Linked DNA regions of Macaca fascicularis. The protein of the gene in region 1 binds, or shares a complex with, the protein of each later gene. Links are inferred from orthologs where the notes say so. Each region holds a gene or a part of one and is shown on either strand. Other genes may lie near its edges.

What was found. The genes of interacting proteins can lie anywhere in the genome.
Region 2: the proteins of SMAD7 (region 1) and YAP1 are in contact, whole or in part, in an NMR structure (PDB 2LTV), measured with the Homo sapiens proteins. The link is inferred for Macaca fascicularis from reciprocal best matches to the Homo sapiens genes SMAD7 and YAP1. Residues at the interface, in NP_005895.1 of Homo sapiens: Ser206, Pro207, Pro208, Pro209, Pro210, Tyr211, Tyr214, Pro215, Met216, Asp217; in NP_001123617.1 of Homo sapiens: Thr241, Gln242, Asp243, Tyr247, Ile249, Asn250, His251, Lys254, Thr255, Thr256, Ser257, Trp258.
Region 3: the proteins of SMAD7 (region 1) and SMURF2 are in contact, whole or in part, in an NMR structure (PDB 2LTZ), measured with the Homo sapiens proteins. The link is inferred for Macaca fascicularis from reciprocal best matches to the Homo sapiens genes SMAD7 and SMURF2. Residues at the interface, in NP_005895.1 of Homo sapiens: Glu203, Leu204, Glu205, Ser206, Pro207, Pro208, Pro209, Tyr211, Ser212, Arg213, Tyr214, Pro215, Met216, Asp217; in NP_073576.1 of Homo sapiens: Glu304, Arg306, Asn307, Thr308, Ala309, Thr310, Arg312, Tyr314, Val316, Asp317, His318, Arg321, Thr322, Thr323, Gln324, Phe325, Thr326.

The regions. Positions count from the first base shown.
Region 1 is NC_088392.1:40,812,471-40,817,140, reverse strand, and holds the start of SMAD7 (mothers against decapentaplegic homolog 7), read right to left. Parts: upstream 3,105-4,670; 5' UTR 2,615-3,104; coding exon 2,002-2,614; intron 1,570-2,001; exon of another isoform or gene 1,457-1,569; intron 668-1,456; coding exon 614-667; intron 1-613. UniProt on the Homo sapiens protein: Antagonist of signaling by TGF-beta (transforming growth factor) type 1 receptor superfamily members; has been shown to inhibit TGF-beta (Transforming growth factor) and activin signaling by associating with their receptors thus preventing SMAD2 access.
Region 2 is NC_088388.1:101,116,907-101,121,423, reverse strand, and holds the start of YAP1 (transcriptional coactivator YAP1), read right to left. Parts: upstream 3,086-4,517; coding exon 2,765-3,085; intron 2,387-2,764; exon of another isoform or gene 1,920-2,386; intron 1-1,919. Other genes in the region: uncharacterized protein, read left to right, coding at 3,084-3,312, 3,370-4,019. UniProt on the Homo sapiens protein: Transcriptional regulator with dual roles as a coactivator and corepressor. Critical downstream regulatory target in the Hippo signaling pathway, crucial for organ size control and tumor suppression by restricting proliferation and promoting apoptosis.
Region 3 is NC_088390.1:71,250,799-71,255,016, forward strand, and holds the start of SMURF2 (E3 ubiquitin-protein ligase SMURF2), read right to left. Parts: upstream 3,093-4,218; 5' UTR 2,630-3,092; coding exon 2,578-2,629; intron 1-2,577. UniProt on the Homo sapiens protein: E3 ubiquitin-protein ligase which accepts ubiquitin from an E2 ubiquitin-conjugating enzyme in the form of a thioester and then directly transfers the ubiquitin to targeted substrates.

The DNA of each region.
Region 1 (4,670 bases):
CAGTCAGTGACAAAGCAACAGACAGGCAGAGCTGTGCTCAAAACTTTGACGGCCCCTATGGAGAATACTGAGAAAACCCCGGGAGAGGACTGACTTGCAGGTGACTGGGGCAGGGGGAACCTACCCTCCTTTCACTGCCTATACTTCTGAAACGTTCCAGTGTCTACTCTAGACCAAAGTCTTCTTTGAACCTTTTTAAACCGCCTTCCCATCTATCTAATCACGCTTTCCATTATTGCCGTTGATGCTCCTGGCACTCACGAAGTCTCCAAGTTTTCCCCATCAACCAGTCCTATTTGGTTCCCAAGACACTTCTTTCTGGACTAAAGCTTCCACGTATCAAAGCTGAGCCCACCGGCTACAGAGCGCAAATACAGGAAAAAGGAACAAAATGTAAAGCATATCAAGGGAACATCTTTGCAAAAACACAAAACAAAAACCCAGTCACAACAGAAAAATTCACCAAACTTCCAACAGAGGAAACCTAGAACCAACGTGAAGTGAAGCAAGTCCAGCACCTCTCCAAGCCTTTGCCTACACACAAAAAGCCAGGTTCTAGAGGCTCTATTTCTAACTTAAGATAGGAAGGATATTTTAAAAATCATCTACTCACCAGTTGGTTTGAGAAAATCCATCGGGTATCTGGAGTAAGGAGGGGGGGGAGACTCTGAAATTAAAAAAGCAAGAGAAAATAAAGGCCCAGCCATGAGAAGAGAGATAGAAACTTATGATAACAGAAGCATTCTTTTAGCCCAACTGTTTGTCTTAGCTGTGGGGGTTGGAGGCAGGGCCGCGAGGCGGTGATTGCCTTGATATTTAGCTGTCAGATAAACAAAAGAGGCCGCCTGGCGCCAGCCTCGGCGCTCCGCTCCTCCACGTCTGCGGCCGCCGCCGCCGCGCTCGGCTGGCCCGGCTGGAAACCACCGGCTCAGCCGGAGCCGCGCACTTCACAGTTCACAGGCGGGGGGCGACCATACCCCCTCCCCGTTCTCGGACTCCAGACCTAGCTCCCAGCAACCTCGGTTCCCCGCCCTGGCCCGCCCCCCAGGGGTGCAATTCACCTCCGCCCCCGCCGGTCCGCTGGGCACCCGCGCGAGGGACACGGGGCTCCCCATTCCCAGCGCACTCGGGAGATGCAGCCCAAGCGTGCTGGTGAACTTGGGGGATCTGCGGTCGCCCGGGGTGAACCCTCACATCACACTCCGTGTACAGAGACATACAGAAAAGGAAGGAATGGAGAAAGCTGACAGGATAAAAGGGAAGAAGTTTCAGGGTCTCAGCCGAGAAGCCCTGGCCCCAGCGCAGTAAGGGGCGACAACGTCACCGAGGCGCAGGGCCCCACTAATCTATAGACTTATCTGTGCGGAAGGAAGGAAAAAGTAGGGGACACCCAACTTCTCCTGGCTGTTTGTTCCTCTGCACCCTGGGGCTGGCAGAGTTGAAATGAGACAGATACCCAGTTCGGCCTTCCATCCAACTCTCTTTGCCCCAAAACTCCAAAGCTGCGCGGCCACGACAGTGTCTGGGCCACTTGTGTTCGACGTGATTCTCCTTATTTACTGAAGGAGTAAATACGGAGACCTTCCAGCCTTTTTATAGCATGCTTCTCCCAGCCTTCCTTGGCGGGCCTGGACCAAATCCAACTCGGTCACACACCTCAACGCCTTTCCGGGTGCGGGGAGGCGTGACCCCCCCATCTCCCTCTGCACCCCCTTGTTGATCCGGAAATGAAGGCGTCTAATTTTTAACCGCAAACTGTGTGCAGGAGCAGTGCCCATAGACCCCTTCGGGGCAACACAGGAGAAATCCTGGAAGGGAAACCCCAGGGAATGCCCTTTGAGTTTCCCCGTGTCCCTTCTCTACTTTCGGCCCCCAGTCTCCTCCCAGGAGGGGATGCACACTCCCCCTGGAGGGGTGGCTGCACAAACGCACTGCCCTAAGGGCTTTTCTTCCAGCACTGGCGCGCCGGAAAATGCTGGGGGTAAGGGGACAACTTCTCACCTAGTTCGCAGAGTCGGCTAAGGTGATGGGGGTTGCAGCACACCAGCTCGGGGTTGATCTTCCCGTAAGATTCACAGCAACACAGCCTCTTGACTTCCGAGGAATGCCTGAGATCCGGCCACCTGAACACTTTGCACAGCAGGAGGGGGAGCGAGTAGGACGAGGGCGGCTGCGCAGGCTGCGCGCTGGCGGGCGCCCCCGGGCCCAGCCTGCAGTCCAGGCGGCCGGGCAGCAGGAGGCACGCGGTGCGCGTCCCGCCGCGGGACTCCACGGCCTGGAGCAGCAGCTCCAGCTGCCGCTCCTTCAGTTTCTTGAGCACCGAGTGCGTGAGCGCCTTCAGATCCGCTTCGGCGCCCCCGGCCGCGCCGGCGCCCGCGGCTGGCGGGTGGGGATGGTGGTGACCTTTGGCACCTCGCACCGCCTTGCCCAGGCAGCATCCAGCCCTGCCCGGGCCGCCGCCACCGGCCCCATGCGCTCCGCTGTCCGTCGCCCCTTCTCCCCGCAGCTCGCCGCCTCCTCCACCTCCCCCCGCGCCCTCCTCCTCGTCCTCGCCGCCGGGCGCACGGCTCCTCCAGAGACGCCGGACGAGCGCAGATCGTTTGGTCCTGAACATGCGGGGCGAGGAGGCGAGGAGAAAAGTCGTTTGGCGGCTAAGGAGCGAACATGACCTCCGCACACCATGAAGAAGTCGGGCGCCGAGTTGGGGCAGCAGGCGCAGGCGACAGCAGCAGCAGCAGGGGCCCGGGCAGGAGCGGCGGCGGCCCGTGGGGCGCTCCGTGGCATGCGCCAGTCTCCCGGAGGCCGGGGCGCGCGCGGGGGCCCGGGGGCGCCCGCCGGGGATCGGGGGCCTGCGCTCCGGCTGCCCCACCCCGCGCGGCCCGCGCCCTGCGCGGCTCTCCGGCCCCGGCGCGCCCCGGAGGAACCCGGCCGCCGCTTCCCTGGGGACGGCCGAGCCTGCCCCCGTCGGCGCCTCCCCAAAAAGAGGCCCCCCCGCAGTGGCTCCCGAATGTCGGGCTCGCCAGCCTCGGCTTCCTACATGGAAGGTCCGCGGAGGCAAAAAAGCGAAAGGCGTTCGGCTGGGCTGCTGGAAGAAGGAAAAAGCCTCTTTCCCCCTTGCTAAGCAACTTAATTTGGGGGTGGGGAGAAGCAGGCAATTAAAAAAAAAAAAAGCAAGCACGCAATTTATTTTTTTTCTCTATATCCTTAGTAACCGGATCTCCTCGAATTCCGTGCACACGAAGACTCAGGGGAGGGGGCCGAGTGGACTTCACCCCGCATGAGATGTCTGGCGAAATAAGAAGGCTCTCGCAAAACCTAACAACCAAATATGCAAAGCCCCAAATGAAAAACACCACCTCCTCGAACCTCTGAGGTCTGGGGGCGTCCGGCTGGAGCTGGGGTTTAAAAAAAGAAAATGTTTACAAAGTATAACAAGATGTTTGAGGGGTGGAAAAATGTATCCACGAGTTACATCCCCCCCTTTTTTCCTTGCAAAGCCCCGCTGGTCTTCCTCTCCTTCTGCCAAAAAAAAAAAAATCGTGTATTTTTTTAATCCACAGAAAGCTTTGGCTAGACCGCTTCAATCCTGCGCATCTGGGTGGTTTAGGGGAGTCTCTGGTCTTTCCTCCTGCGCTCCTGGGGGCCCAGGTCCTCGGCGGGGACTTCCTCGAGGCTGGCGGGGGCGCAGGGGCAGAAGATGCTGCGGCGGCGGCTGAGCCCGGCGGGGCTGACAGCGCGGGGGAGGGCGGCGCGGCGGCGGCGGCGGCGGAGGGCCCCAGGCGGGTCGCGCGTTCTCGCCCCCCCTGGGCACAAGCTGCTTGCTAGTGCGGGGGCCGCCGGTGTCCCTTCCCCTGGCCGCGGCTGCCCGCCGAGGGTCCCCGCATGGGCTGCTCGCCTGGCCCCAGCAGCGGCGGCAGGAGGCCCCGGTGTCCTCTCGGCGCCTCCTCCTCCGAGACTCTCCTCGTCGCGCCCGGGAGCCTCCTTGTCCCCGGTCCGCCCTCTCCTGGCGCTCTGGTCCTTCTGCCGCCGCCAGGGGCTCGCCGCGCCGCACTCTGGGGCTCAGGGGCCGGGCGTTCGGCGGCTCGGCGGCGGCGGACTGGCTCTGTCTCGGGCAGCTCTCTCCCGCGCGGCGAGCGGACCGAGCACGGCGCCCGGCTGGCTCGGCTGGCGCGGCTCGGGGACAAGATCTTCAGTGCGCCGAGCAGCAAGCGAGTGTGCCCAGACCTCGCCGCCTCCCGCAAGGCCTCCCGCCCCCGCCCCCGCCCCCTTCCCTCCCCCTTCCTCCCCCTTCCCTCCCCCGCCCCCAGCCGCCGCCGCCGCCGCCTCCTCCCCGCCCCCCCGCACCCCCCCTCCGGCCCTCTGCTCGGCTGGTTCCACTGCGCAGTGGCGCGCCCGGCTCCGGCCTCGTCACGTGGCCGTCTAGACACCCTGTCGCTTTAAAAAAAAAAAAAAAAAGCGATTGTGTTTCGCAAACAACAGATCGGGTTTCTAAAAGCTATTTCTCCCCCCAACCCCCCGCCACCGCCACCCCCTCCCGGGGCTGTAGATGGGGTACCGACGGAGGAGAGAGAGAGGTGGGGGGCAGAGAAGCTCCCAGAATCGATTGAGCCCCGGCCGGAGCCATGGAGAAATTGGAAAAGCAGGGAGCACCGAGCGGGCTTCGCTGCGAG
Region 2 (4,517 bases), on another chromosome or scaffold:
TGATGAGCAGTCCATCTAATGAATTTCCACCTACTACACACCAGACATGTAAGGGCAACTAGTACTGAATGAATAAAACATTCCAAAAATAATAGTGAATTTTAAAACCTAATTTTTAAAAAGTCACTGCAGTTATGGGTGCTTTTCCAAGTTCTAAAATGTTCTAAGTATAAACACAACGCAAACAATATGCATTTTTTACTAGGTTTTAAGTAATTAATTTTTTTTTCTAGGTCAAGCCCAAGAAAAAACAAGCCCTCGTCATTTTTTCCCACCATGATAAAACGCCATCAATAAAGAAATCATAACAAATTACACAATTTTTAATGAAAGCAACAAATTTGAACTGCCCAAATGTTCTTAAAAGCCATCTACAATGAACAAGATGAAAAAAACTCAACTATATATTTGTATGTAGAAGATAATGAGGTTATCAGTCCAATTATAACTTAAGAACTCACAGACATTCACAACTCTATACAAGCAGAAAAAATTCTGCATTCAGACCCCAAAGATCTGAGTTCCAGTCTAAGCTGGCTAGTGTGACACTGAACAAGTATGTTAACTTCCATATGCCTGTTTTCTCGTTTGTAACATAGTTTTCAAGACAGAAAAATGGATGTATATAAAACAACTTATAGTCACCAGTTTGTGTTGTGAACAATAGTATTCACAACCTACATTCTACTATTCACAATCTTGCATAGTTTTTAAAATGTGTCTAATTAGAATTAAGAGTTTGATTATCAAAAAGTTAGAATTTCCTAGATTCACAAAGGTAAGGAAACCGGAAGGACTCAGTAGAGTCATTAATGCCTTAAAGTGATAGACCTTTCTGAGTGTCCCATCAGAATAAGTATGATTTAGAAAATCACTAGCAGAAATAAAAGTCCAATTTACAGATGAGCAACACTTAGTTAAAAACTTATTAAAAGCAAAACTGTAATAGTTTATGAATTTTAGAACTGCTGGATATAAATTCTTGTAAAAATTACCTACTAGAAGAAAAAGTACACTTTCCAGTTGTGACTCTTTGTCACAAAATGGGGGATCCAATCTATGTGTAGTATACTTTGAAAAAATACCGTGTAGTCTGCAGGGTGCATGCCAACACACATTTACTTACAATGAGTCCATAAACCAACTTCCAGGGGTAAGAAAAAAAGCATACCTAAGTCTATTTCTGACAAATTGAACTGTTTAGGCAAGCAGCTAAATTGTTTTTCCTTCCTTCCTCCTCCTTAACCCGGGTTTTTGTCATCAGGTTAAGTGAGTTTTTCTGAGTTCCAAAACCCTGTGGTCTCTGACAGAAGAATATACAACAGGCCCGCAAATAGGACAGAGGATGGGAGTGGGGGCGGTAACTCTTCTTTCCACTCAAGTTACAGCCCGAGTAGGCTAACTACATTGCAGTATTTGGAAAACCTATTAACTTTTGGGCAAAGTTCCTATGCTGAAGTTTAGCCTGAAGCAAGTTCTTTAAAAAAAAAAAAAAGAAGAAAAAAGAAAAGAAGGAAAAAGAGAGAACCCTACACTAAACAAAACCACTGGGACCTATCGGAATGTTAACACTCTCATTATAAATAGTTTCACTTCTATGCTGAATCAAGCTGGCAAAATAATCGAACGTTGTGTATGTGGAAAAGCAGCCATGTTCATATCCGCAATAAGAATTAAAAAGCAATGGCGATCCTAGAATTAGTCATCGCTTCCCAAACATTAACTTTTAATCACAGTTGAACTAGGCAGGACTTGGCCTATGAGTCAACCCGCAGTGTATTATCAAAGGCTTGTGTTAAAACCTCGGTACTGTAAAGCGCAACTCAGTTCCTGCGCAACGTACAGATGTGGCTAATTCAAAAGCTTTTCAGCCGACTGTAAATAATAGCCTACGATCGGGAAACCAACACGCAACCTACTAAGTTTGATAAGAGCGAGCCGACCCAAGTTCCAAGACACAAGGGAAGCGCAGGGGTGAAAGAACTCCATAAACAACTTCCAGGAAAGTCTGGGCAGGGGAAGCCCGAAACCTGTATTCAGAAATCGCCTAAGCCGCGAGGAAAATAAATGCTTACGGGAGGGGGAGGCAGAGGGGGAGGGGAAATGGGTAGGGGGGAGGGAAAGAAAGAGCAAAAAACTAAATGGACCGGTTCTACCCCCACCTCTAATCAACACTGGAAAACAAGAGAACAATTATTTGACTCCCCCAGGAGACTGAAGTGGACCGAGAGGCCGCAAAGGAAAGGGGCCCAGGGCTCAACTTCACAAACTCGGCCGCCGCTGGCAACTCACCCACACACAAATGCCAGAGGCCCCCCTCCCCCTTTCCCGGCCCGGCCCCGGCGGGAGCGAAGGTGCGGAGCGCGCGGAGGCGCGCGCATTGTGCAAGCCCACCGCGGCCCAGGCTCGGCTCTCCCCCACCCCCTTCCTTCCTCCCCACCCCTCCTCCACTCCCGCCAACCTCCCGGGAACCCCGGGAAGAAAGAAAGGAAGGAGGGAAAGCACGCCCCCCGGGGCCGCAACCGCAGAAAGAAACTCCGAAAGGAAAAACAAATCTCAGCCCCGGACTCTGGGAGGAGTGGGGAGCTGGTCACCGCGGCCGAGCGGACGACTCCAGTTCCTCCACTTCGCCGCGGGACCCCCACCCCAGCTAGAGCTCCCGCAACCCCCTCCCCTGGCCAGAGCTGGCGGCCGCGGCTCCCGAGCGCCCCCCCGGTCTGAGGCCCGCCCGACGGGGAAGCGGGGAGAGGGGCGACAAGGTTACCTGTCGGGAGTGGGATTTGGGCTCCGGCGGCTTGAAGAAGGAGTCGGGCAGCTTCCGGAGCCTCATAGGCACGGTCTGGGGCACGTTAGCCGTCTTGGGGTTCATGACGGCGTTGAAGAGCGCCTCCAGGTCGGTCTCCGAGTCCCCGCGGACGTGCACGATCTGATGCCCGGCGGGGGGTGCCTGCGGCGCCGCCTGGGTCGCCGCGGGTGCTGGCTGCCCGGGTCCGGACGGCGGGCCCTGCCCCTGGGGGGGCTGCGCAGGCGGCTGCCCTTGGCCCTGGGGGGCCGGTTGAGGCGGCGGCTGCTGCCCGGGATCCATGGCTTCTGCCTCCCCCGACGCGCACCCCCTAAACCAGGCGGGCGAGGGCTCCGCCCGGACGCCCCGGCTCCACAGGCCGAGGTGGAGAAGCGGCGACGGCTGCGGGCCGGGCGGTGCTGGGCGGCGGGAGCGACGCTCTCCTCGCTCTCAGGGCCGGGGGGCTGCGCCGCGGCCCCGCATCCCCCGCCCCGGCGCCTCCGCCCCCGCCCTGCGCCCCGGCTCCACTGGTCTGGCGGCTGCGCCTCGGGAGGGGCTGCGAGGGACTCGGACCTGCGGCGCCTGAGAACTTTTTCCCTCCAACTCCCTTGACGGAGGCCGGACAGCTCGTTGCCTTTCCCCTCCTCCCCCTTTCTCTTTTATTTCCTTTTCTTGTTCCTTCCTTCCTCCCTTTCTTTTCCCTGGCGGCGGCTGCGCCCGACTGAGACAGAAACTCGCCTCAGACGCCAAAACTAAAGTTGTGAGAAGCGCCCGCCCGCGCCGCCGCGGCCCCGCCTCCTCTCGGCTCTTCCTTCCTCTGCGCGCCCGCCCGCACCGCGGCCCGGCCGGCAGCGCAGGGAAACTTTTCGCTGCAAGTTGCTACATTCCTGCACACTCCCAGCCCTCCGCGCCTCTCCCGGTCGCACGTGACCCGCTCGCCCTGGTCCGGTCCGCCCTTCGCCCGCGCTCAGCCCGGCAGGGGCCCGGAGCGTGCCCCGTGTTCTACGCCGCGAACCACAAACGCTGGGTCCATTCCGAGGCCGAAGTGTGGTCTCTGCGGAGAACGCGGCCGCCCTTGGCCCCAGAAAGTCCTTCCGCCCCGCTCGGCTCCTTTTCCCGGCCCGTGCTCGGGAAAGGCGCTTCCAGCTCGCCTGGACTTGCGAAAGGACGAAGGCCGAAAGAAGTGGAGAGAGGATGTGCGAACCCACCTCCTCCTCCCCGCGTTACCCCGGCTTGACCGAGCGGAGCGCCAGTGCGGGCTTAAAGCCGCCAGGATAGATGGGAGTTAAAATAGATACGGTGAGCCGGCGCTGATGTTAATAAAGGTCCATTGTTTTCAGCATTAACTTTATTTTGTAATTCTGTTTCACTTATCTGTTAGTGTGCGAAAACTCACTTGAAAGGGTAAACGGTTACTGTAATTGAAGCTTTGAGACCAGGTCTGTGAGTCAGTGTAACTTAGTAAAAGAAACAAAAACACTACATTTTCTAAATAGTGAAATCACATCAACTGTTTTAGTACTCGAGTTTGCAACATAGTCACTGGAAGCCTCAACCCAAAAAAATCAGTGCTTCTTCAGGTACAAGCATTCATTCCTCTGTACCTGCCTTTCATCCTCAGGGAGCTGGGTGCCTACCCCTGCTATCCCTGTGCCTGGCCCAAGGGTGGACTCCGTTAATGTGGACTGAATAAGAAATGAATGGGCAAGTAGGTCACCCCAGGCACCTGATGTAC
Region 3 (4,218 bases), on another chromosome or scaffold:
TAAAGTTTATACAACATCTTGAAATCAAAGGTACTCTATAAATTTAAAATACTAATATGGTATTAACTTAAAGCAAAGAATAATAATTTTAAAACACCTTATAGCCCAAGGGTATTGTAAACCAAATATAAATTCACTGTGAGATCTGTCTTTTTTAAGTGATTTTTTTTCCTCTATTAGGGAACCCAGATCTAAATGAACTGTTAAACACTTAGTCTAAAGGTACGCCAAACATTTCTTAAGGTCTTAACAAAGAATCAACTTTTTTTTTAAACAAAATGAGGCCTAGGTTAAATATTTTATTTGGCTTCTCAAGATGGACTGAGAAGTTGGGCACCAGCTCCAGACCAATTCCTGGACGCACATCAAACACAGCCCCGTCATCTATCCAGTCAGTCAAAACAATCTTTTCCATCTAACCCTTTAATGTTTATGTCCTAAAAAGCTGCTAATTGAATCCAGCTCTTGAGATCTATTTGCTAAAATCTATACCATCTAATTTGTAAATGATGAACAAAAATGGAAAAAAAAAATGTTAACTTTCCTGGCAAAACAGAAGAGACTCCACTGTAACCAAAGAAGGAAGGACAATGTTTTTAATATTTGTCAAATTTTGAGAGAAAACGATTCAGAGACAAATAGTTGCAAGAAACTCAGAGTACCTCAAACTGTTTTTACTATTAAGAGGACACAGGGTATTTAAAACTCCTCAGAAAAACCTGAAACAAAATCACTATAAATGTAGTTCAATATTCCCTCTTCCCCTAAAATATAAGCATAATCTTTCCTCTTAACAAACTTTAATTATAAATTTTTATAACGTATCATAGGTAGTACGGAAACCACAGATAAACACTTTAAGATCTACTGAGTCATACTAAAAACCTCAACTAACTTTATTTGAAGAAAATCAAAATCCCTATTTTTTCCCTCATCTATATAGCCCAGAGGAAAGTAAATGGAAACAGCCAATTTCTGATGCTTTCTGCACACCTGGGATCACATGTTCTTTCCACGATCACTGACTCCAGATAGCAACAGCAACAGATAAACTCGAAAGCAACAAAGATCCCCTATAAAGGTTTCCATTGTCTCCTCCCAATATAAGGACACTGAATGGGGGAGAGCGGGGGAGAAGGGGGAATACAAGTATCCTGCAATCCAGGTTTTTCATTAAGAACCACTCAGTTAATGATTCCTTGCAATTTTCCCTAGGGAAAGGAAAACTGTCATGAAGGTAATATATTATTTAAATTGCAGCCAACATACATTCAAGCTAAATTCTCAAATACCAAATTCACTGCAAGGTTTCACCCAGCAAGTTCAGCCAGTGGACTGAGATGTGACACATAAGCATTCAACTACAAAATTAGTCCAAATAAATCTCAAAGTCTAGTGTGGGCAAACATAATTACAGTTGATTCGTACACGTGCACGCACACACAAATCCTCTACGGAAAATTATCTTTCTCACCACTCACCCGAATATAAACGTGGACAATTTATCAGGGGTAAATGGTGAAGGTAGGATAACGACGTGATTTCAATTCCTTTTCAAACCAAATACAAGTGCTCCTAAAACGGGGGTGGCATGTCCATGTAAGAATACCAAAAATGGCACTGTAAGTAAAACGTACCTGTAATATTAAAGATTTCATGCACCTGGAATCATAAACACTTTGTAAGTGTAGTCTTCTATCTGACAACCCCTCCGGACATACTTTTCCATTTAGAAAAAGGAAGGGGGAGGGTGGGGAGAGTAACAGAAAGTTTGCTCTAAAGTTTGTATGAGGACATACTTAGAAATGTACCCCCTCCCTCCCCCCAAAAAAGTGTGTTTTTAAAGCAGGTCGGGAGTTAGAAGTGAGACACGAGTTCTGCGGCCTACAAGGAACAACCCCAAACATGCCACCCTACAATCAGACACTTCCAAAACACAGTGTACAATGAGCCCGAGCCGTCGGATCAGACAGGCACACCGGAAAAGTCAACCTGTCTCCTCTCCTCAGAGAGACGTGAGTTCAAGGTGTGTGGCCCCGGCAGCGGTGGCCGGCGGCGGGGAGTAAAGGTTTTTCATGCGGGCATAAGTGGGTGTGCAAGGTAACAACCCGGGAACACACACGCACACCCTCCCGTTAAGCGCTCCATCTTTAAGGAGTGTTTACTGCGCGCAGTCAGCAACCGGATTCAATAATCCTCGCCACGGGAGCTCTTCATCCCCTTCACGATCCCACCTGGGCGGTAGCCCAGGGGCTGCTCCCCGAGACCCGGGAGGCAGCGTCGGGCTCCTTGACCAAGACTTTCCGACCTGAAATCCGCCTGCGATGCGAACCGGTGTATCCTCCCCTCCACAAAAGACCACCCCCACCCCCCGCCCCGAGTCATCCTCGGCTTTTTAAAGAATGCCCAAGCCGTAGCAAGTGGTTTTCCAATTACTCTCCCTGAACTAGGCCTTCCCACTCCTCCGACCCCCAACTCACCATTGATCGCGACACTGGCCCTTCCTAAGGCCACAGGCACCCCCCGCCAGCTCGCCCACCCCGCGGCTGCCCAGCCCGGCCCGCCGCCCCCCCTCACCTGTCAGGCGCAGCTTGACGGGCCCGTTCCTCCGGCCTCCGGGGTTAGACATGTCCCCGGCGGCGGGGGCGGCGGGCGGGACGGGGACGGGGGCGACGGCGAGGCGCGGCGGAGTCACCACAGCGGCCGGGGCTGGGGCCCGAGCAGCCGGCGCCGCGGCCGCCACGGCCGGAGGGTCCCGGATGTGCCGAGCGTCGTCGCCATGAGCCGCGGAGGGAGCGGGACGCCGAGCTCCCCCCTCCTCCCACTTCTCCTTCCTCGGCCCGGGCCGCACAACAAAGCGGCAGCCGCGGCCGCCCGCGCCGCCTCCGCCCGCGCCCCCGCCGCCTCCTCGCGGGCGCAGCGGCCTTTCCTTCCTCTCGTCTCGGCGAGGCCCAGTAGCCGACGGGGCTGGTCGGCTGAGGCGGGCGGTGCTCGGCGACGCCGGAGCAGGACTCTGGGCTCGGCCGCTTCCTCCTCCACCCGCCCTCTTGTCTGAGGGACCCGGGACCTCGGGCCGCCGCCGCCACTCGTCTGCTCCAGGGGGCGGGGAGGAGACGGGAGGCGGGGCCGGCGGGCGGGGCGGGGCCAGCGGGGCGGGGCGGGGCCAGGGCGGGGTCGTCGGGCGCGCGCAGGGTGCCCCGGGCGGGCACCGGCTGTCAGAAAGGGTGTAAGTTGCCGCGGAGGGTCCCACGAGGAACGCGGGGAGGGAGCAGGCAGGGAGCAAAGTGGCGGCGGGCGCGGCAGCTCTGTGACACCTGGAGGGATTTAGTGTCCGGTCCACTTAAGGGAGAGCTTTTGTCCCAACAGCGCCGACTGCATTTATTAGACGCCCACTGCGTGCAGGGCGCTCCTAGAGACTGGGGCGAGGAAGGTTAGAACCGAGTCCGCTGCCTCCCGGGAACTTAGCGTCTTTCGGACGAGGGAAGAGACCGCATTCCCACGCCGATGGTTCCAGCAAAACCCCAGGAGTGCTCTGCTCCTAGTCTTGTAGTTGACACCTCCATCCGGAACTCACCTGGTGGAGGAGATAGGGTTACCTGCCGACTCCCGCTCTTTTCAGGTGCAGCCAAGGATAGGGAGATGATACGTCTTAAAGGATTAACAAGATAAACCTTGGAGAGTAATGTGTGAAGAGTTGTTAATACACTACTGTATTTCGTTATCTCAGGAGGAGAAATTTTTTTTTAAAAATGTGCGCCTTATCCTTTGACCTTGTAACTGTACTGCTAGAAATATTTTTTCTTTTTTTGGACAGGGTCTCTCTCTGTCATCCAGGCTGGACTACAGTGGTGCGATCACGGCTCCCCGCAGTCTCAACTTCCCGGGTTCAGGTGATCCTCCCACCTGAGCCTCTGGACTAGCTGGGACCAAAAGTGTGCACCGCTACGCCCCACTAATTTTTGTATTTTTAGTAGAGACATGTTTAGTAGAGACATTTAGGTTTTCCCATGTTGCCCAGGCTGGTCACGAACTCCTGACGTCAAGCGATCCGCCCGCCTCGGCCTCCCAAAGTGCTGGGATTACAGACCTGAGCCACCTCACTGGCCCTATTCTTGACAAATAATCGTACAGAAGATGTTCTTTGTTATATTCCATTAATACCAAAAGGGGAATGAGGGAACAGCATAATGGTCCAGGAACCGCATGGTTTTTTATGCA